2 linked regions of the Neodiprion lecontei genome follow. The protein of the gene in region 2 interacts with the protein of the main gene of each other region in a biochemical or structural test. Links are inferred from orthologs where the notes say so. Each region holds a gene or a part of one and is shown on either strand. Other genes may lie near its edges. The genes, in order: chromatin-remodeling complex ATPase chain Iswi and bromodomain adjacent to zinc finger domain protein 1A.

Evidence for each region.
Region 1: the proteins of bromodomain adjacent to zinc finger domain protein 1A (region 2) and chromatin-remodeling complex ATPase chain Iswi form a complex in vitro, tested with the Drosophila melanogaster proteins (3 studies listed by BioGRID). The link is inferred for Neodiprion lecontei from reciprocal best matches to the Drosophila melanogaster genes Acf and Iswi.

Annotation. Positions count from the first base shown.
Region 1 is NC_060263.1:31,593,414-31,604,701, forward strand, and holds chromatin-remodeling complex ATPase chain Iswi, read left to right. Parts: upstream 1-3,443; 5' UTR 3,444-3,801; coding exon 3,802-6,837; 3' UTR 6,838-7,565; downstream 7,566-11,288. Other genes in the region: protein RRP5 homolog, read right to left, coding at 151-715, 791-853; NADH dehydrogenase [ubiquinone] 1 alpha subcomplex assembly factor 3, read right to left, coding at 2,345-2,749, 2,831-2,948, 3,049-3,130, 3,249-3,279.
Region 2 is NC_060266.1:592,995-602,739, forward strand, and holds the start of bromodomain adjacent to zinc finger domain protein 1A, read left to right. Parts: upstream 1-3,765; 5' UTR 3,766-4,101; coding exon 4,102-4,214; intron 4,215-4,310; coding exon 4,311-4,449; intron 4,450-4,869; coding exon 4,870-5,084; intron 5,085-5,183; coding exon 5,184-5,397; intron 5,398-5,724; coding exon 5,725-5,954; intron 5,955-6,085; coding exon 6,086-6,750; intron 6,751-6,912; coding exon 6,913-7,389; intron 7,390-7,484; coding exon 7,485-7,984; intron 7,985-8,088; coding exon 8,089-8,868; intron 8,869-9,033; coding exon 9,034-9,227; intron 9,228-9,322; coding exon 9,323-9,498; intron 9,499-9,604; coding exon of another isoform or gene 9,605-9,669; exon of another isoform or gene 9,670-9,745. Other genes in the region: 26S proteasome regulatory subunit 4, read left to right, coding at 68-303, 378-512; uncharacterized protein LOC107216885, read right to left, coding at 650-1,024, 1,100-1,180; probable DNA-directed RNA polymerase III subunit RPC6, read left to right, coding at 1,881-1,966, 2,188-2,806, 2,894-3,055, 3,137-3,211.

The sequences.
Region 1 (11,288 bases), on a different chromosome or scaffold from region 2:
GAAACGTGCGAATCGGTCTTGTATATATACAAGACCGCATTCTGTTACTTTTGCACTAATTGATTTGTCAATTTCAGAATTCAATATCCGTTCAAGCTTGTTCAAAATTGTGACAAATAATAAATAAAAAGTGACAGGATTCCAACTTACAGTATTCTTTTTCTTCATCAACATCTTTAGAAGTTAAAAAAGCTCTGACATTAGCAACCCCAGTGTCAATGATATAGCCATGTTCTTCAATACTGGATACAGTGCCAACAATCTTCGATTTTGGGATGATCCGAGTGCGATCCAGATTTTGATTTATTAGTTCTGGTTCCAGGGACAAAGAGACTCTCCACTTCTCTGTCAAGTGCAGTTGCTTGACATAACAGACCAAGTAGTCACCAGGTTTGAATAACTCTGTCAGTGGTTTATAACCCTCAGGTTTGTCATCTTGTACGCTGATCATACTTTGCAATAACTTTGTGTACGAATTGCTGATGTCTGTAAGCTCCAATCGACCGATTAATCGTCCAGGAAGCGATACAATCAAGTCATAATCCCTGGCCTCTCGAATACGACCCAGGACAACCATTCCTTGTGTTAACGTAGTATAATTCAAACAGTCCGCTGATGTTGCCAATATATTTGTGGTATGCAAATCTGCATAATTAGTAATGGCAAAATTATCCTTGTGGATTCTTAGTTTTGATCTTGGCTTTTTTTTCAATTCCTATAAACATACATCAAGTTTTGGCGATATGAGCATTACAGGGGAGGGCAGGGGTGATAAACTGAAAAAACTTACATTATTTGCGTGTACATTTTTTAGGGGTTTGCGGCCTCCGCGTGGAAAATTTTTTAACGTCATCTGTAACTTAATTTTAAGGTTAGACACATGAATTCTATTTTGCCCTAAACAGTTAATATGTTTGTACGGAATGCAAATAAAATATAATAAAAACAATCACAATTCCGAGCAATAGTGCCTACTTTTTATTTCTTCGGGTTAACGTATCTATAAAATATGTGTTCAAATAACACACGCACGGATTTTCCCAAGTCCGAACATTCAACTCACACTGGATGCTTAATTTTAGGTTATGTCGGTTTCGGCAGCGTCGGCTGCATGCATACGAGGAAAGGTTCGCGCATGGTCAACTTAACTCCGTGGGTGCGTTCCAAAACCTAACCCTAGAGTTGAGTTAAGTTGAGTTGGGTTCATAAGGGTACAATCAGCTGATTCTCAAGACGCGCAAATATTTAAATTAAAAATGGGGGTTATCGTTGCGAAGGAAATTGCAGCGGGAGTATATGATTTGATGGCGAACTCTGAGAGTTCTTGATCTGAAGACAATGATGATGATTTAGTGCTTGAAGCAATATTCCATTCCGAACTCATCAATGACCCCCCTGCGAGAATTCGCAATTACCTAGATATTATTTCGCAATACTCGCATACAGATTTCAAAAGGCATTTTTGCTTATCTCGAACAACGGTAGAATATTTGCACCAAAGTATTGGACACCAATTGGAAAACTAAAACACAGGTCAGTTCGCAAACAGCTACATTACATCTAACATGCAAGTTACTTTGTGCAAGTGCAACACTAGGGCGTTCCCATACTCGACTACTATCGAATTTCAATCTTGGCGCAAAAACACTGAACCCATCTCCATCTAACCCTGCTCTAGGCAGGGTTCATTTCAATTAGCTCGGAGTCACCCGGAGTTGCCACCTCGCAAGTTTCGGAACTATCAGAGTTTACGACCTATATTTAGACTTACAGGTTTGGAACGCGTAGAGTTGGCCAGAGTTGACTACAGTTGGGTTTGGAACGCACCCCTTGCTTAAGCTGTTTTTAAATATGTGTCAGGCAGGGATTATATAAACGTAATGGATGATGATTCATAAATGAGTGAATTACTTCACACTTTGTACATAAATAATGTTGAATATTTTATTTGCTAAATATTCTATCAACAATTAATTAACTATACAAGTTTCTACGATAATATTTTGCTTTACACATACATAATATTACTATGTACATGGATATAAATTATGTGTATATCGCATAGATACGCATATATTTTTCAAATTCATAAATAGCTACACTATCAATAACAGTCCTTTGGATTCATTTACTGCAATAAAATGAGGTAAGCCAGTTACAGATGTGATATGACTTATGTAAAGTTAATACACTAACAGACACTGTGGATAGCTGTAAATACTTTAAATAATTATGAGCATTGAATCAAAATGCCAAAAGTAATTTTAATTGCTTCTTTCGCTTTTCAGAGCCAAGTTAACTAATATTACATGTACCTTCACTGAAAAAATGTTTGTTGGCGTACCTATAAGTTGGTCGAATTTTCTAAAGCTTTTGGACCCATTGGATCTTGTATGGAATCATTAGCATTAAAATCAAGATTTGCAGGTGGGATGAGCGCAGCTGCAACAAATCTTCCTTCAGCATTAAGGAAATTGAATATAGGACAAGCTTGGCATGTTGGAACGATCTCCATGTTCATTTTGAATTTTTTGGCAAACAGAGCCAGCTTCTTGTCAACTTTAATGTTACTATGAGGGTCACCAGTTCCAATTACTAAAATGTCTGGTTTTGGATCAAGAATAGTAAATAGCGACAGAGTTTCCTCGTTGACATCATCTATAGTATTAACCTTCCAACTCAGTACGCTTCTTGGAAATATTGCAAGTGATCCAATGATACTAATGCCATTGTTTAAACGAAATCCAATCTACAACAAGAATTTTGTTAAGCTCTGTATTGGTACAAACGTTAATTTTATCCAAAAAACAAAGAAATATAATAGCTATACCTTGCTGTAGGAATTTATCATGAGTCCATAGACTTCGTCCCTGTTAAGAATAGATATCGTCGTTTTTCCATCACCTTCGTAAGCACTTTTGCAAATGATTGATGAACTATGAATTTTCCTATAACAATTGATCGGTATTGGTAAGAATAATTTACAAAAGACGTGCAAATACAAAATATAATAAAAATCATTCACACATTTGAATTCGAGTAACTCACCTAATAGTTTGTCTCATGTTTGCCGAAATTATACGGCTAAATATGAAGGTAGTCGTCATCGTTTGCAGGTACAAAAAACACTCTTACGAAAAAATTGATAATTTATTTTCATGAAGTTTGAGGTTACATTGAATTTGAAATTGTATCTTAAGGTTATTTAAGGTTACGTTCTTGGACTTTGGGAGGTTATAGGAACCTACCGGTTTCGACGGACGCGTAAAGTGACGTCATTGGTCTTTTTCGTTCGCTAATCTCGAACTAATACTACTAAAGCCACTCGGCGGTGCGAGTCGCGCCAGTCCACTATCCAGTGAAGAGATCTGTGTTTCCGTTAGATCGGCCTAAAATCCGGTGTGGACACGGCTGAAAGCTTCATTATTCTGCTTCACGCCGTACATGCAACGCTGCAAAGGTCTACCATTTCACTCACGTTGTGTATATACTTTTGAAAGTCGAAATAAAGCTCGACCTGCTACAGTTTGTGGCAATTTGAAGACTACCACTAGTCATTAGAGTTACGTGCGATGGTTTAGTACTAATCATTTAATTACTGGCTGGTCAAGCTGACAGTGATTGCGGACATAAGTTAGTTTTGGAGGGAGTTGAAGCGTTAAAATGGCGATGAGCCTTTGGTTGATTCGTCGGTGAACACGGCATACTACACACAATACCGGTGAATAATCTGGCGTTGGGTAGGCGCTTCAAGTATTTTATTGAATAAATCAAGCAAGAAATTGACCTCAGCGACGAAAAATGTCCAAGCCGGAGACGGAAAATGCCGACGCTGTCGAAACGGGGGAGAATTCAAACGGATCGTCAGCAGAAACAACATCTTCTAGGGGTGGCGATTTCGAAACCAAACTGGAGACCGACAGGAGCAAGAGGTTTGATTACCTACTAAAACAGACCGAAATTTTTTCTCATTTTATGACGAATAATCAGAAAGACAAAAGTGTCAGTCCTCTTAAAGTTAAAGCTGGGAGACCTAGGAAGCAGCCCGAGATTCCTGTCAAAGGTGACACGTCGGCTGATCTCAGACATCGAAAAACAGAGCAAGAAGAAGATGAAGAGCTCCTTGCTGAGAGCAATGTCAGTGTTGCGCCAACGACTCGTTTCGAGTCATCCCCCCATTATATAAAATCAGGAGAGCTGAGGGACTACCAGATTCGTGGTCTTAACTGGATGATTTCGCTCTATGAGAATGGAATCAACGGTATACTGGCAGATGAAATGGGTCTTGGAAAAACCCTTCAGACGATTTCATTGCTAGGATACATGAAGCATTTCCGCAGCATTCCAGGACCTCACATTGTAATTGTCCCAAAGTCAACGCTAGCCAACTGGATGAATGAATTTAAGAAATGGTGTCCCTCGCTGAGAGCTGTTTGTCTGATTGGAGACGCTGAGACAAGGAACACGTTCATCAGAGACGTAATGATGCCAGGGGAGTGGGATGTCTGCGTAACGTCTTATGAAATGGTAATAAAGGAGAAATCAGTATTCAAAAAGTTTAACTGGAGGTATATGGTAATCGATGAGGCTCATAGGATAAAAAATGAGAAATCAAAGTTATCAGAAATTTTGCGCGAGTTTAAGACTGCCAATAGACTTTTACTCACCGGCACACCGTTACAAAATAATCTTCACGAGCTATGGTCACTCTTAAACTTCTTATTACCAGACGTGTTCAACAGCTCAGACGACTTTGACTCCTGGTTCAACACCAACAGTTTTCTTGGAGATAATTCTTTGGTTGAAAGGCTGCATGCTGTCTTAAGACCATTCCTTCTTAGACGCCTCAAGGCTGAAGTAGAGAAGGGACTTAAGCCTAAAAAAGAAATCAAAGTTTACATTGGACTGAGTAAAATGCAGAGGGAATGGTATACCAAAGTGCTAATGAAGGATATCGACATTGTAAACGGTGCTGGAAAAATTGAAAAAATGAGATTACAAAACATTCTTATGCAGCTACGAAAGTGCTGCAATCATCCATATTTGTTTGACGGAGCTGAGCCGGGCCCTCCGTATACCACTGACGAACATTTAGTTTATAATTGTGGAAAGATGGTGATCCTTGATAAACTACTGCCAAAATTGAAGCAGCAAGACTCGAGGATATTAATATTTAGTCAAATGACTAGGATGCTTGATATTCTTGAAGATTATTGCCATTGGAGAAGTTTTCAATATTGCCGATTGGATGGTAACACGGCTCATGAAGATCGACAGCGGCAAATAAATGAATATAATGCTCCCGGGAGCGAAAAGTTCATTTTCATGTTATCCACAAGAGCAGGAGGTCTTGGTATTAATTTAGCTACGGCTGACGTAGTTATTATTTATGATTCTGATTGGAATCCTCAAATGGATCTGCAAGCTATGGATCGAGCACATCGAATCGGCCAACAGAAACAAGTGCGAGTGTTCAGGTTCATAACTGAGAATACAGTAGAGGAAAAGATTGTCGAACGTGCCGAGGTCAAGTTGCGCTTGGATAAACTTGTTATTCAGCAGGGCAGACTAGTAGATGCGAAACAAACAGCTTTGAACAAGGATGAGATGCTCAACATGATTAGACATGGTGCTAATGAAGTATTTGCTTCTAAAGACAGTGCCATAACGGATGAAGATATTGATACGATACTTCAGAAAGGAGAAGCTAAAACAGAGGAAATGAAACAGAAGTTGGAAAATTTGGGTGAATCATCCTTGAGAAATTTTACAGTAGATGCACCGACCGATTCAGTCTACCAATTTGAAGGTGAGGATTATAGGGAGAAGCAGAAAATATTAGGTATAGGCAACTGGATTGAGCCGCCTAAACGCGAGAGAAAGGCAAATTATGCAGTCGATGCTTACTTCAGAGAAGCGCTAAGAGTCTCAGAGCCAAAAGCTCCAAAGGCACCAAGACCTCCGAAACAACCAATTGTTCAAGATTTCCAATTTTTTCCGCCACGATTGTTTGAGCTACTCGATCAAGAAATATATTACTTCAGACAAACAGTTGGGTACAAAGTACCAAAAAACCCTGAACTTGGATCTGACGCAGGAAGGATTCAAAAGGAAGAGCAGCGAAAAATTGACGAAGCTCAGCCACTTACAGACGAGGAATTGACAGAGAAAGAAAAACTGCTTACTCAGGGATTCACAAACTGGACGAAGAGGGATTTCAACCAATTCATAAAGGCTAATGAAAAATATGGTCGAGATGACATTGAGAATATTGCCAAAGATGTTGAAGGAAAATCTCCTGAAGAAGTAATGGAGTATTCTGCTGTCTTTTGGGAACGTTGCCACGAACTTCAAGACATTGACAGAGTAATGGCTCAGATAGAGCGAGGAGAAGCAAAAATTCAGAGACGTGCCGGTATAAAGAAAGCTCTGGATGCAAAAATGGCCAGATATAGAGCACCATTCCATCAGCTAAGAATAGCCTATGGAACAAACAAGGGAAAAAATTATACCGAAGAAGAGGACAGATTCCTTGTATGCATGTTGCATAAACTTGGATTTGACAAAGAAAATGTATACGAAGAACTCAGAGCAACCGTAAGATCTGCACCACAATTTCGCTTCGATTGGTTTGTCAAGTCAAGAACAGCTCTAGAACTCCAACGAAGATGTAACACTTTGATAACGCTAATTGAACGTGAAAATCTAGAGCTTGAAGAAAGAGAGAGACAAGAGAGACGAAAGAAGGGTGGAAGTATTGGATCAAAACCAGCGTCCAAACGGAAGCAAGAGAATCTTCCAGCACCTCAAGATAAACCTAGGAAGAAGAAGAAGTAAATGTACTTTTCATGAACTATGCAACACAATTTCAGTTTATCTAAATTTTAATAAGTTCCAATATCACTTTAAGTTTATTACAGTGGCTGAACTCACGTCGGACACAGGTTGTTCAGGTTAAAATAATTCGACATTATAATCTTTAGGGTCATCTATTATCAAACCACTGTAAACATAAATTAAAAAAATTTTAATTTTTTAACTGCACGTTAATTAAATCTTATAAAATAACTTCTATTAATTGTGTCGTTATGTGAAGTGAGGGGCACCAATTATACAAATTCAATACATTCTTCTAGACAACCTATTTACTTGTCACAAATAACTTGTTTGCCTGTAAAAAGAAGCGATAAACAGCAAATTTCATTTATATGAAGAACACCTTCTTTCCGTGAAGTCTTACGTAATGTTTAGAAGTAACGTCTTTTCTAACTAGAACAGTACATTGTCACACACGTTTGGAACCATAGTTATTTATGAAATATGCATGTAAAACAAAGAAATGCTCTAATTGTTAACGCTGAAAGATTTAATTAAACATCAATCATATTTACAACATTGTCAAATTCAGTGTTCTCTGTACTCTCACTTAGAATTAATTTACTTGGTAAAACTTGGGGATTTGATTCACGATTGATTGGTACGAAGAATTTTGTTTACTATCACGTTTATTGGATTTAAGAATTCTTATCGAGGAGCAGAGTAAATAAAAAGTATGAAATAAGATACATATGTATTATTTAATTTATATCCTAAATTATTTCACAATTTATAATATTTCTATAATTACATATATAATACATATATGTATAATAGTAACAAATATCTTGCAGTGAACACACGTCATTCGTACGTAGCGTAAATACTTGAGAACTATTAAATTATCCTCGTAATCGTCTTCATATAAATATAATAAAAATGAACTGTTTGATTTAAAGAAAGCATAATTTTGTAATACATATCGACAAATCAATTGCATTTTTTACGATCAAGATTTTATCTGTAATTATCTGTGTGCAAAACATAAAAATTGAATATTTAAATGTACCGTCTCTACTGCCAAAATATCTCATCCTATACAAGCATATTAGAGATTATTACGGTAATTATGATACTACCCTACATAATCGTACAGAAATAAATGAATATAGTATGCACATAGAATGTGTGACCAGGTATAATACATATATAGGTGAATCCTATATACCTATAAATGCGTTTACACATACTATGAATACGAATACGTATGTTTTTGACAGTAGTTATAATTGTGATAATTACGCGAGTAATCTTTTATGCAATCTTATATTACGCATTTATTTCACACGTGTACGTAATAAATACCGCATTAGCGGTGCGAGATTTGTACATTATTTGTACAAATCTTGAAACTCTCACTCCTTCTCTAAATTGTTTGTATACCGTTCTATAAAACAGTAGATATTACAATTAAAATTGATTATTCATTTCATTCACTTCAGATCATCCCAATATCATCTCATGTAGAATTCTATCAAACTACACACCCATAGTTTTCATTTAGTTATGGCAAGGGCCGGCCCTTCTCGCAATATATTTAAAATATTGAAAGACATCGCATGAAAAGCTAATTACAACAGAATCTGAAAGTACTGGGTATTCAGAAATTTCTAAATTCACCAAGTAGAATAGTGTGATTAATCCCAGATATTGATATGCATAGCACTTCTAATTCATTGAAGCACGTAAGTATTACAACATGTCCAAATTTATCTTTCACGTATCTCTTTATTCATCACTGACAATGAGCTATTTCAGATTGGTCATTTTCAGGTTCTGTTGCACTTTAGTATGTCTAATAACGAAAGAAAAACATTTTCTTAATTCATAAACAACTTGATATAATATCTTCTCAACACATCCGATTACTAGGCTTCACAGTGCTTCATGAGAATGAGGGGGTAGTAAGGTTCCAATATTTTTTCATAGTACTAATCAACTCGGGCAAAAGTAGTTATACACTAGGGTGTCCGTTATTTTTATCGTTTTTTTTTTTTTTTTTATCAAAAGTTTGAATGTAAAATACATTGATATTTTCGAAGATTTTTTTTTTTTCATAAACTCAAATGAACTGAAAAAATCTATCCGATGCTTGAGAACAACGTTTCGATTTCCAACTAAACGTAGGAATGAAATAATTTCGGTGAGTGCACATATTCTATAGAGAAGGACACTCAATAAAACCGTAATAGTTATGGTTTTGTGAAGTATAAGAGAGTTTTGAGATTCCATGTGTATTTTTATGTTCCTATGTTGAAAGTATAAACATTGCTCAAACATCAAACTAATTTTGTCAGTACATTCTAGTTTGTGAAAAAAAGTAAGTAACTGGCAAAAGTAGTGGGATTTTAGGGAAAAATGGACTGCTTTAGGGTACATTTAGGAAAGCCTTCAGGTTTACAGTGTTTATAGGAGAAGCAAAGAAAATAGGATACCTTTAGGGAACTAGGCGAACACTGTGTAGCCTGGATTACGGAAAAACGTCATTTAAATTAAGAAAAATTAAAAGTAAATAAACCGTCACACGATTACAATTAAAAATCTAAATTTCTCATTGTGTTTTAACTGTGTTTGCTTTTTTTTCGCCGTTAAACATTATACATATATCAGTGTCAATACATTTCGAGATAAACCATTTCTATATATTACGTGAGATGCCTAGCGTTCAATATAATGTAATGTTAGTATTTTCGAATGACCATCATATCGTGGATTATCTATAGTTCAAAATTCATTTAAGAATTAATAATAACAATAGTAATACTGGTACAACGTGTGGTACGGTAAGCGAAATTTTTTCTTTTAGTCTAAATACATGATACGCATTTCATTGCTCACCTAATACCTACACCGACATCTTGGATCTGACAATTTCTTCCATATTCCAACATGTAACGACACCCAAAACGTCAATGTATACCTACTTTATAAATAAATCAGCAAGCTATCTCTTGACAGCCAAGAAGTATTTAAATTTAACAGATAAAATTCGAAATTATAAAATTGTATGTTGGGGCCTGATAAAATTCGTTTCAAGTAATCTCAACACAATGTCAATTAGTAAAAGACAGTAAAATAGAAGTGTCACAGTTTTATAGATGCATCTAAAATAAGATACAAAAAGACTATAACTAAAAAAATGATCGTATATCTTATTGAACCTCGATGATTGATCGACTAGAACACAAAATTTTCATTTCAGTTTAACGAATAAGCAATTTTCCAGTTATTGAAATTACGCAGCTCCACATAATTTTTCAATGTATGTCATGTAAACTTGTTTGGCATCAGGATGGTTCAATATCCTTATAAAGCTAACTCTAATAATAACGTGAAATTAAAAACTGAATCTTATCGGACTTAAGAAATAATGTTAACGTGCGTACTACAGTTTATTTGGTAGTACCCGTGAAGTAAAAAAGTTTCACCTTGTCTCAATGGCATAAAAATCACTGGATATACAGTTGTAAGCAGTGTGAAAAGTGATTATTACGGGTAAAAATATGGAGACTGTACACAGGGTGGTCACTAAATCTCCATCACGGAATTCCCTGACTTTTCTAGGTTTTCCAGATAAAAATCTTATAATTTTCCCTGAACAATTTGAATAAATCCGTTATAATAAATTGAAAACAATATACGTATTTTCTATACAATTTTTTTTTTTTAACGAAAGTACGAATTGTCACTTGTGTCACACCATCCCATCTAGCCAATGCGCACAGTCGTTTGTAAGGTAATATTTAGGAATAATCAAAGTTTTAAGAGAACCTTCCGGTGATGGTAAGAAAATTGGTATTCGATCTAATTTATCTAAAGTTTAAAAAACTGTGGAACGTATTTGTATGAAAAAAGTATATAGTAAACGATTCCCTGACTATTCGAGAATTGCAGAATTCCTTGACTTTTCCAGCTTTCCCTGACCAGTGGCCACTCTGGTACAGACAGGGTAACGTCGAAATGACTTTTTTGAATTACAATTATCTGCGAATTTCAGAATGAACCTTAAAAATGACTGGATACATATTTGTAGTCAATATAAATTAATATAAAAATGCAGATTTCTTTTTGCTTTGTTCGCGGGTATTTTAGTTGATTGCAAATTTTTCTGTGTCTTATAACCTAGGATAACTTATCATTGTCAGTGGCTGGAGTTACCAGGCCAACATCGTCGACATTTAAAAATAATGCTAAGTTTGATCTTACATCTTATATAATTAGTAAACAGAACATTTCAGCTGATGTGTTGATTACAGATATTGTGCGCAAACGGAACGATACCGGAGCTCTTTTTTTTTCTTAAATCATAAATATCAGTGAATAGTTGTATTTGAAATAGTATGGGATTACTGGCATGTAACCTGCTTGCTTTTGGCACGAGGGGGTACTCACTGGTTAGAATTGCAAACTGC
Region 2 (9,745 bases):
GATGTTTTACCGCTTATCGGCACTATGTGCAAAAGTGCTAATGTGAATCAATTATTCAAATGGACAGGCTTTGACAGTCGTGGAGATGTCAAAGTAGTGATGGCAACTAATAGAATCGAAACTTTGGATCCGGCACTAATTCGACCCGGACGTATCGATAGAAAGATCGAGTTTCCCCTGCCAGATGAAAAAACCAAGAGGAGAATCTTTAGCATTCACACAAGTAGAATGACATTGGCACCAGATGTAAACCTGGCAGATCTCATCATGGCTAAAGATGACCTATCCGGAGCTGACATAAAGGTGATTATTTTGCAGTAAAAGTAAGATTCTTTGTATGGGTAAAAATGGAAAGTTATAGTTAACTTTTCCCATAGGCGATCTGTACCGAAGCTGGTCTCATGGCTTTACGAGAGCGCCGTATGAAGGTAACCAGCGACGACTTCAAGAAATCCAAGGAGAGTGTGTTGTACCGCAAGAAGGAAGGATCGCCTGAAGGATTATATTTATAATTTAATTTTTCGCTTTCCCTTGTATTTTTTATCAATCGTAATAATACGAAATTCGAATAAATAAATTTTCTTTAACTCAACCAACTTTTGTCAACTATTAATTGATTGGGTTAACTTTACAGGTACAGGACATAATGCTACAAAACTGCATTGTTGATACATGTTACGTGTTTGCTTGTCAATTCGTCAAATTGATGCTGCAGCGTCTCTAGTATCCTTGTAGAATATTTCTTCTGACCATTTCTTATATCCTGCAGCGGCATTTTAACGAAATCATCTGTCTTTACTTTGCTCTTCGTACTTTCATTGCAGACGTAGCAAGCCCCTCGCCTTGTCTTTTCAAGTACATCATCTGTAGCTGGTAGAGTTTGAGAGTCGTTACTCATGGCTGTTGCCAGCCCCTTGTATTTTCCTAATACGAAGGCAGTTTCGAAAGCGTCTTTGTAACCGATGTCAAAACCTTCTTGGAAAACTGATTTCTTTCCTTCTTCAACTCCTTCCCTATAACCGGCCTGAGAAAGTTGATGGACTGTGATCAAGTAATGTTGATTGAAATTCTCGTCATTTCACTACCAGAGAATTCTTACCTTAATTGCTCTATTTATAACTCGATTCCAATTTCTTTCGGAAAGCTCTACTGAATGCTCAATTTCCTCACAGTCATCCATTTCAAGGTTATGTTTCCAATCACTTGACAGTGTCACATAAGTCCCGGGATCTGACACAATCTGTACGATTATTCATTCGATGTACGCATATTACATAATTTATCAAAAATTTGCAAACTGTGTAAGCGGGAGTAAAGTAGTAATTGTAGGGTAGTTCCTCTTTGTTATTCGGAAAGAGAAGAGCAAAGTGTTTAATAATCAATTAAATGCAACTGTTGGTACTTGTTTGTACGACATTACGCCTGATTATATGCGTAATTAAAGGTGTTTTATAAAGCGCCCAATTACATGCAACCAAACGTACACCAAGAACGCCTGATAATGCCCAAGCATGCAACATGCATTTCTCCACATAAAATTCAAAATAGTTATGAATTTATTAATTGAACAAAAATGAAAATAGGAATAGCATGGAGCGTCCAACGTGGGCGAAATGTCGAGAGTACTGAGTCTCGGATTTTAGCTATCCCCTCAATTCCTGTAAATGAAATAAATTGATTATCATGAACAAATCGTTCACGTGACTTGTGTATTTTACCAAATCAGTGGCAATAGTAAGCCCTTTTCCTACAGGGGGCGTACGTCACGTGGGTTCGTCGCCGCAGCCACACGTGTTCGTTGCAAGGTTCGATGGCAATTCATTGCATTGCTTCTAATTCGTTCGTAAGATTTTGAGTCAACGATTAATTATCAAATACTAATGGATGTCAGAGGAGAATTCTCTAGTGAGCGAGAAATAAATAGAATTGTCGATGTGGGTGAATCGCCAGAATTTATCGAAGAAAAGTATGATGCTTTAAGATTAATTGTCAAATAACTGTCAAACAGACCGTTAATAACGTAATAAATAGATAACAATTAACTGTCAAATAGACCGGATATAGCAGCAAATGTTTGTTACGCTTTCAAAGCTCCATAGTTTTCTAACTTTGTATAATGAAATTGAAGGGAACCTGTTAAACGAGATTTTTTGTGCAACAGTGTAAGAGGTACAGCTTTGATTTCAGGATTATCTCCTTGGCTCAAGCAAAGCCGAAGGGCATCTCGGATAAAGACATATCTGCTGAGATTCCAGATCTGGCACCGGCGCGGAAGGCGGCAGCGATAAACAAGCTATTGGCTCAGGGATACTTTGACTTATTCAAGCAGGGTGGAACTCTTCTTTACCGTTTGAAAGATCCGAGCAAGGCTAAATCGGTTAAAGGGGCAGACAACGAGGAGAAAGTTGTTTATAATATAATCGAAGAGGCTGGGAACAAGGGGATATGGATACGCGACATCAGGTTCAAATCCAATTTAATGCCGACGCAGCTGAATAAAATTTTAAAAAGTTTGGAAACTAAGAAGTTCATTAAAGCTGTAAAGTCGGTAGCGGCTAGCAAGAAGAAGGTATATATGCTTTACAACTTGGAGCCTGACAGATCTGTGACCGGAGGCGCGTGGTACCAGGATCAAGACTTTGAGGCAGAATTCGTCGATATTCTAAACCAGCAGTGTTACAGATTTTTGGAGCAAAAAAAAGACAGTACAAAAAACTGCAAGGACGGTCCTATCGGTGCAAGAAATATAGCTTTTGCGTCGTCGAAAGAAGTTTGGAAATTCATTTCCGATCTGGGAATAAGCAAGGTACGGCAACGGGATACCTTTCACTAACTTTTTGCTGTTACTCCTCGATAATACTTTGACTAAATAAATGAAACGATAATATTGCAGGTTAAGCTTTCCGTGGAGGATCTGGAAATGATTTTGAATACCCTTATCTACGACGGCAAAGTGGAAAGAACTCTGTCAAGCGACGGAAGCAACTTGTACCGAGCGGTCGAACCGTTGCTCAGCCCTCCAGGATTAATTAGAACACCTTGCGGTGTTTGTCCGGTATATTTAATGTTGTATAATAAACGAGAAGCGACGAATGATCGTTGAGCATCTTTGAGGTATACTGTATTTTGCTTTCAGGTGAGAAAAAACTGCTGCGACGTGGGAGAAATAACGCCAAAGAAATGTCACTACATCAAGGAATGGTTGGAGTGAAGTTTTGACATCGAAATTCGCGTTGAATCTGTGTATAAATATAGATCCATGAAATGTGAATTTCCGTTTATTCTGCTCTTATTCGAGATCCATCTCTGTAAGCCTGTATTGTACAATTAATTCGTAAACTGCACGGTACGCGTAGTGTCAAAGATGAGAAACAAGGTGGTCGATTGTTGCCGAAATTTTATTCTCCATGATTATAGCAGAGCGTTTCTCCCATGGGGACTATACAAGGAGCACGAAGTCCATGCAACCAAATAGCTGCCTGAAGTAAGATGGCACTGATGTTCCGTATGCACCGAAGGTATTGGACGGATTATAAGGCAGTAGTGAAAACTTTCTACAGATCACAACGCAAGATCACCGATCATTCGATCTTACAATTAGCATCCTTGCAGCCAGAGACAATTCGGTACAAAAGGGACGCTGGCGACGCTAGTGGTACAAAAAACAAACCTGACGTGAACGATTACTATGACAAGTTTTGTCAATTCACCCATTGAGTTCGTGCTCCATGGTCTCTCCCGCCAAATGGCCCCCAGGCGTTTCGGTTTCAAGAGGGACGCAGACGCAAAACGCGGTATCCGGTGAGTCTTGCCAGGTGTGCGCGCTTTCCGAGACACCGTTAAATCGCGCCTTGTCATGAATTTGTACATTTTTATTGAAAAATCGCTTATTCGTCATCCCCGAGGATAGTTAGAGGGTTGCGTAGCGTCCTCGGCAAGACGGTTGTGCGTCCAAGTGGAGATTTAAGGGCGACGGGCGGCCGAAGCGGGGCTGCGGGACGTGTATAATCGGCCAGAACGTAGATCACTTGAGATTGATTTCTGCGGAGAGAGTGTTTCGTGACGAATTAACAAGTCGGGTCAGCTCGCGCCAGCGTCGTCATGCCTCTCCTACGCAAGAAGCTTTTTCACAAGTTGCACGTCTCCTCCGATTTCCGCGACGACGACGAGGTTTTCCACTGCGAGGCGACCAACGAGATCTTCAAAGATTACAAGTTAGTGTTTGACAGCTCGATCATTTTCACCTACGGACAAACGCACTCGCCGCATTTTGTTCTGTAACGTCTCCGACGTCTTCTCCTGCTTTTCAGTGAATTCTGCGAAAGAATTATTCTCTGCAACTCACTCGTCTGGTCCTGTAGTATCACAGGAAAGCCGAATTTCACTTACCAAGAGGCATTGCTCAGCGAGGAAAATGCGAGAAAGAGTCTCAAGGAATTTCCCATGGAGGTAATACACATCAAATGCAACATACACATTCTTCTAACATACCTTTGCTTGGGCAGCAACGAACTTCTTCGAAGCCCCAAGATTCCACTTTTTTTCAGTCACGATCGCTAGGTTTTTTTTTTCTCTTACACCCCCACGACTTTACTAAATCCGAGTGTTTCTTTTCGTGTGAACATAGAAGCTTGATAATGATATTCCGATGAAAGATGTGCCTCGAACGGAGGAAATCCAGTCTGTGATTATACACGTTTTACAAATAACTGCAACATAACCTAGTAATTGAAAATTGTTTATCTGACAATTGATCTTGACTTCGCCGCATAATGCATTGTATTGCATTACGTAACCTGGTTTTAGATTATTACCAGAATCTCGATAACAGTGTCTGAGGTTTAAATTACGTTTGGGTCTTGATTGCAGTTGCGAATTCCAATCTTATACCTGGCGAGCAAAACAAACAGGACTTCACTTAATGAAATGGTCGAGGATGTTTATCAATTCGCACGAGACAGATACTTTGTAGGAGAAATGGTCGAGGCCAGTTTTACCGAAGATGCCTGGTGCGAGTGTCACGTTTTACAGGTCATCGAGCCTACCAAGCAACAGATTAATTCTTACGTAAAAGAAAATAACAGGTATTTGTCAAATCTCGGTTTGGGCAATGGCTTGTCGTTCTTGACCTAACTAGGTGTCTTCTTATCTCCTTGTCTCTTCTTTTAACCATTTACACAAAGAAGCATGCTGGAAAGACAGTATCAACCTCCGGCAAAATTATTTCGCTACGAAGTGGAGCAGTTTGATTGCGGAGGTGACACAGACGTTAGCCAGCTCATGATAGTTGAGGCTTCACAGGTGCGACGACGCAAACAACACTACAGCAGAGAAAGGAATAAGATATTCTTGCGACAACTCTGCGAGCAAGGCGAGACTGGCATATGGATGGTCAAGGTAATCTGTTCAATTTGCTTCATTCTGTGTAATATTTGAATTCGCTTGTTGATTTATTTATTACTAGAGAGGTTCAATAGTCGTTGACAGAATATCTATAAACTCAACCAAGAATGTCAAACGACGTTTCATCTAATGCAATGACTTTGTGACAGATATTTGTGAATGAAACCTCGAATTGGCGTCAGATAATTGGAACAAGCTGACTCATAATTCTACAAATAGATTTGTATTAAGCCTGTAGAAAAATTGACTCAGCATCAACTGGACATTACGGTTGGCATACAGTATTTGTTCTGCCTACATGTTTTGGTTTGCTTGTTGCAGGAGAATGTCTTACAAAAGTATGGCATTCATAAGACTCGATTCGATACGATATTTGCTGGACCCATGCCAGACTTTTCTCCACGTCTCAAGAAACCTATCAAGCACAAGCAGGAGTCTATAGCGAAGTTTCTTACTCCAGATATAGCGAAACATAGGGTCTTTGATAAGCCAGATCCCTTGAAGAAAATAAACGACAGCGGAATAATCGGCAAGAAATCAAAGAAACAAAAGTAAGTTGAAACGTTGAGGACTTGTATGAATTTCCAGATATTTTTTTTTTCCTCACTTTTATGATAACAATCAACTGGAGTTTCACTTTCGTGATACCTTACAAATTTATCACAGTTAATTGTCTGTGCAGGATGAATGGTAAATTTAAAGAAGATCTGAAAGCTAAAGCTCTGGAAGAAAAAGCTCGCCTGAAAGAAGCGAGGCTCGAAGAACGGGGTCGTAAGAAGGAAGAAAAACAAAAGCTTGCAGCTTATGTGAAGGAGTGGAATAAACCCAGAGAAGACTTAGAATGTGAAGATCTCCGACAAATTCCAGATCCGACCCCTGTTAAATGTTTCATTCCCAATGACAAATTTGGCGACTTCGTCATGATATTGGAATTTCTACAATATTTCTATGAAGAGTTAGAAGTTGGCAGTTACTTTCCAGGTGGAGTGAACTTGGACTTGATGGAGAAAGCTCTGTTAGAGAAAGAAGTTGCAGGACCTTGGAGTGACCTCTTGCAACTTTTGCTTGCAAACATTTTTAAATTTCAAGCCGAAGAAGAAGATGAGATCCACGCGGATGCTGCTAATCTAACTGACGATAGAAATATAGACCATGGGGTTTCATCTATGGCCGAAGCCGTGAAATTAGCCACAATAGCCTCATCTTGGTGTCAAACGCACCATGGGTGTCAATTATCCGAGCTGACTTTGGATTACGTTACATTGAGTGAAATTTTACGACAGCATCTCTTGAGTTCTGGCGGTAGGATAAGCGACGTGGCATCTAAGTGGCGCTATTCTCAAAGAGGTAACCAATTATTCGTTTATCTCGATGCACACCTATTTTTGATAGCTATTGCCAATAAAATGAATACAGTCGAATGGTTAATGGGCTGTAGGCATCTGAAATTCCCGTTGAATGATTAATTTCATGCCAACCTGTTATATGATGGAATAAATTGAATTTTAGGTGGCTATACAAATCATGACGATCCAGTACTGCTCTTGAGAATGAAGGAGGCGCATATACTTCGAACTCTGGGCCACATGAATGTCTGCGAATTCGAATTGGATGATCGACTGAAGGTTGTCAGTTGTTTGATTAATCAGTTGCTTACGTTTGCATCTATTCGCGACGTGATCGATGAAAGATACGACAAACTGCATCAAGCAAAGAAGAAACTCAAGTTATTCCTGATAGCTGAGCAAAAGAAAGAAAAGGAAGAGAGGGAGAGAATGAAGGAGAGAGAGAAAGAGGGAAGAGTAGAGGAGGAAGAGCAGAAACCTAAGAAAATAACGAGAGGAAATTACGAGGACGAAAAAAAGAAGGGGGAATACGAAAACAAGCTGAAAGAACTACAGACCGCATCTCGAGATGATCAAATGATGCTTTATCTAGGCTCGGATAGGGCACATAGGAGGTACTGGAGGTTCCTATCTATACCAGGTACGGAATTGTCTTTGATGTGCATAACGTCTGACACATTTTTAATTTCTTATTCCTTTCATGGATCCTAATCGCTATATTCATTCAAACTCTAGGTTTATTTGTGGAGAACGATGAAAGATGGCCGGGTGCTTGTCTGCCCGGGGGTACTCCCTACAAACCGGAGCTTCAAGATGAGTCCGGAGAGGCGATGTATGCGTATTTGAAGAAGAAATTTAAAGACGAATCCAGCGATAAAGAAAACAGTATTAAGGAGCTGAAGAAGTCTCCGAAAAAAGTTGCCTTTTCTGACAAAAACGGATTAAAATCACCGCGAAAAGATCTTAGTCCTAAGAAAGAAGTAAAGGTAGATTTCAGTGATATTAGACAAAACTTGAACGTATGTACAGGAGATCAAACTTGCCCCATCCATTGTGTCACGGCTAGACCGCAGTGGAGTTTTTACGGCTTGCAAGAAAGCATTGACAGTGTAATTAATGCGTTAAATAAGAGGGGAATCAGAGAAGGTGAACTCAGACAGACTTTGATTCAAGAAGCAACGAGCTTAACGACAGTCATTGCCGAATGTCCCCGACACAAGTTAAATCCCGAAGTGGTCAGTACCTACATTTTTTGCCAATTAAAAATGAAAAACTTGATTTTTTGTGGAATTTATCTATGTCCATCTTTTTATTCTGTCCTTTTTTTGTTCTCTCTCAGTATATGGAGCCGATCAAAGAGCCGACGAATAAGAATCACAGGAAAAATAAGTACGATAATGTTAATCTGACTTTCCCACCGGGTACCAACATTGAGGAGGTACTAGAATTAACGTTACGGGACTATATACTCGACCTAGAGGATAAAATCAAAGTTGGATGTCTGGGATCCTTGAAAGTCATCAGCCGAGAGGTCTGGAGAACGGCGATAAACAAGCGTGGTTATGATAAACAGTGCGACAAGTTGGTTTACGGATTGAACGACATTGAGGCAGACACTGCGTCGAATCTTGTCCTGGATAAAATAAAGAATGAGAACAGGGTGAGCAGACCCGGGACCCCGGATTCTGAAATCAGTAGCAGCGGTGTTAAAATTTATCGGGATCCAGGAAGATATCTAGGACCACCGTTTGAAGACGAACCTGTGCCAGATCCGAATCAGCAAATTGCCATCAAACAATTAGCCTGCGCTATCTTACAAATATCGCACGCAATTGAACCGAAATATCTTAAAAAACCATTGGGTGTAGATGACAAGGACAAGAAACCAGCTAGCGAAGACATAGGCAGAGATAGGTGGGAACAATCGCTGATGGCTTCGACGAGTTGGTCCCAGTTGTTTGTGCATATGAGCACCTTGGAGAACAGCGTTGCATGGGCCAGAAGTGCTTTGAATGCGCAATGTCGTATCTGCAGAAAGCGCAGGGATGCCGAGAACATGCTACTCTGCGACGGATGCAACAAAGGGCACCATTTATACTGCCTCAAACCCAAACTCAATGTTCGTAGTCTTGATTTGTCTTATTGCATTATTTGGTTTAAAATTATTATTAATCGGTCGATAGTTCCTTGCTGAGTACTTCATTATGCGTCTTTTGAAATAATTGTTTGCAAAATTCGTGGTGAAACGACAGCAGGCTGGTTGTATGTCAAAATTTCTTCTCAGGCGGTACCGGAGGGAGATTGGTTCTGCACGACATGTAAACCCCGAGAGACGAAACCCAAGGAGAAGTCGAAGAGGAGAAAGAAATTTGAGGACGAGGTGGAAGAGGAGGCGGTTCTCACCAAAGAGACACGACGAAATCGTGCCAAAAGAATTCCTGAAAGTGAGGACGAGGAAACCGAGTTGCCGGAGGATCCGTGAGTATCCAGCCCAAATTTGACTGGCATCTATAGTAATTTCACTCGTTTCAGTGTTTTTTTCCCAAATGATTGATATACGACTCTGTTATCAGAGACGCGACGATGAGCCTTTGCTCGTTGTGTGGAATCGGAGGAAGGGTGATATGTTGTGATGGATGTCCGAAAGTATTTCATTTGGAGTGTACTGAGCCACTGTTGAAAAGAGTACCCCGTGGCAAGTGGCTGTGTGACTTCTGTTTAAGGAATAGAAGAACCAACTCTATACACGGTAGGCCTCGTTGTGTCGTTAGTAGTATTATTCTTTTCACCTGTAAATGTGAACCATTATCGATGTTCATAACGCATATCTTCGAAATATTATGAGGAAACCACAGATACGACACTCTATGCACCAGGAACTAGGAAATCCAAGTACAAGCCACGATTGAATCGTGAATAATCCGAGAGTTGTTGTCGTCGCGAACTGAACGGTAGATCCCGTTCTTTCATGAACAGTCTTAGGAAAATTTACAGAT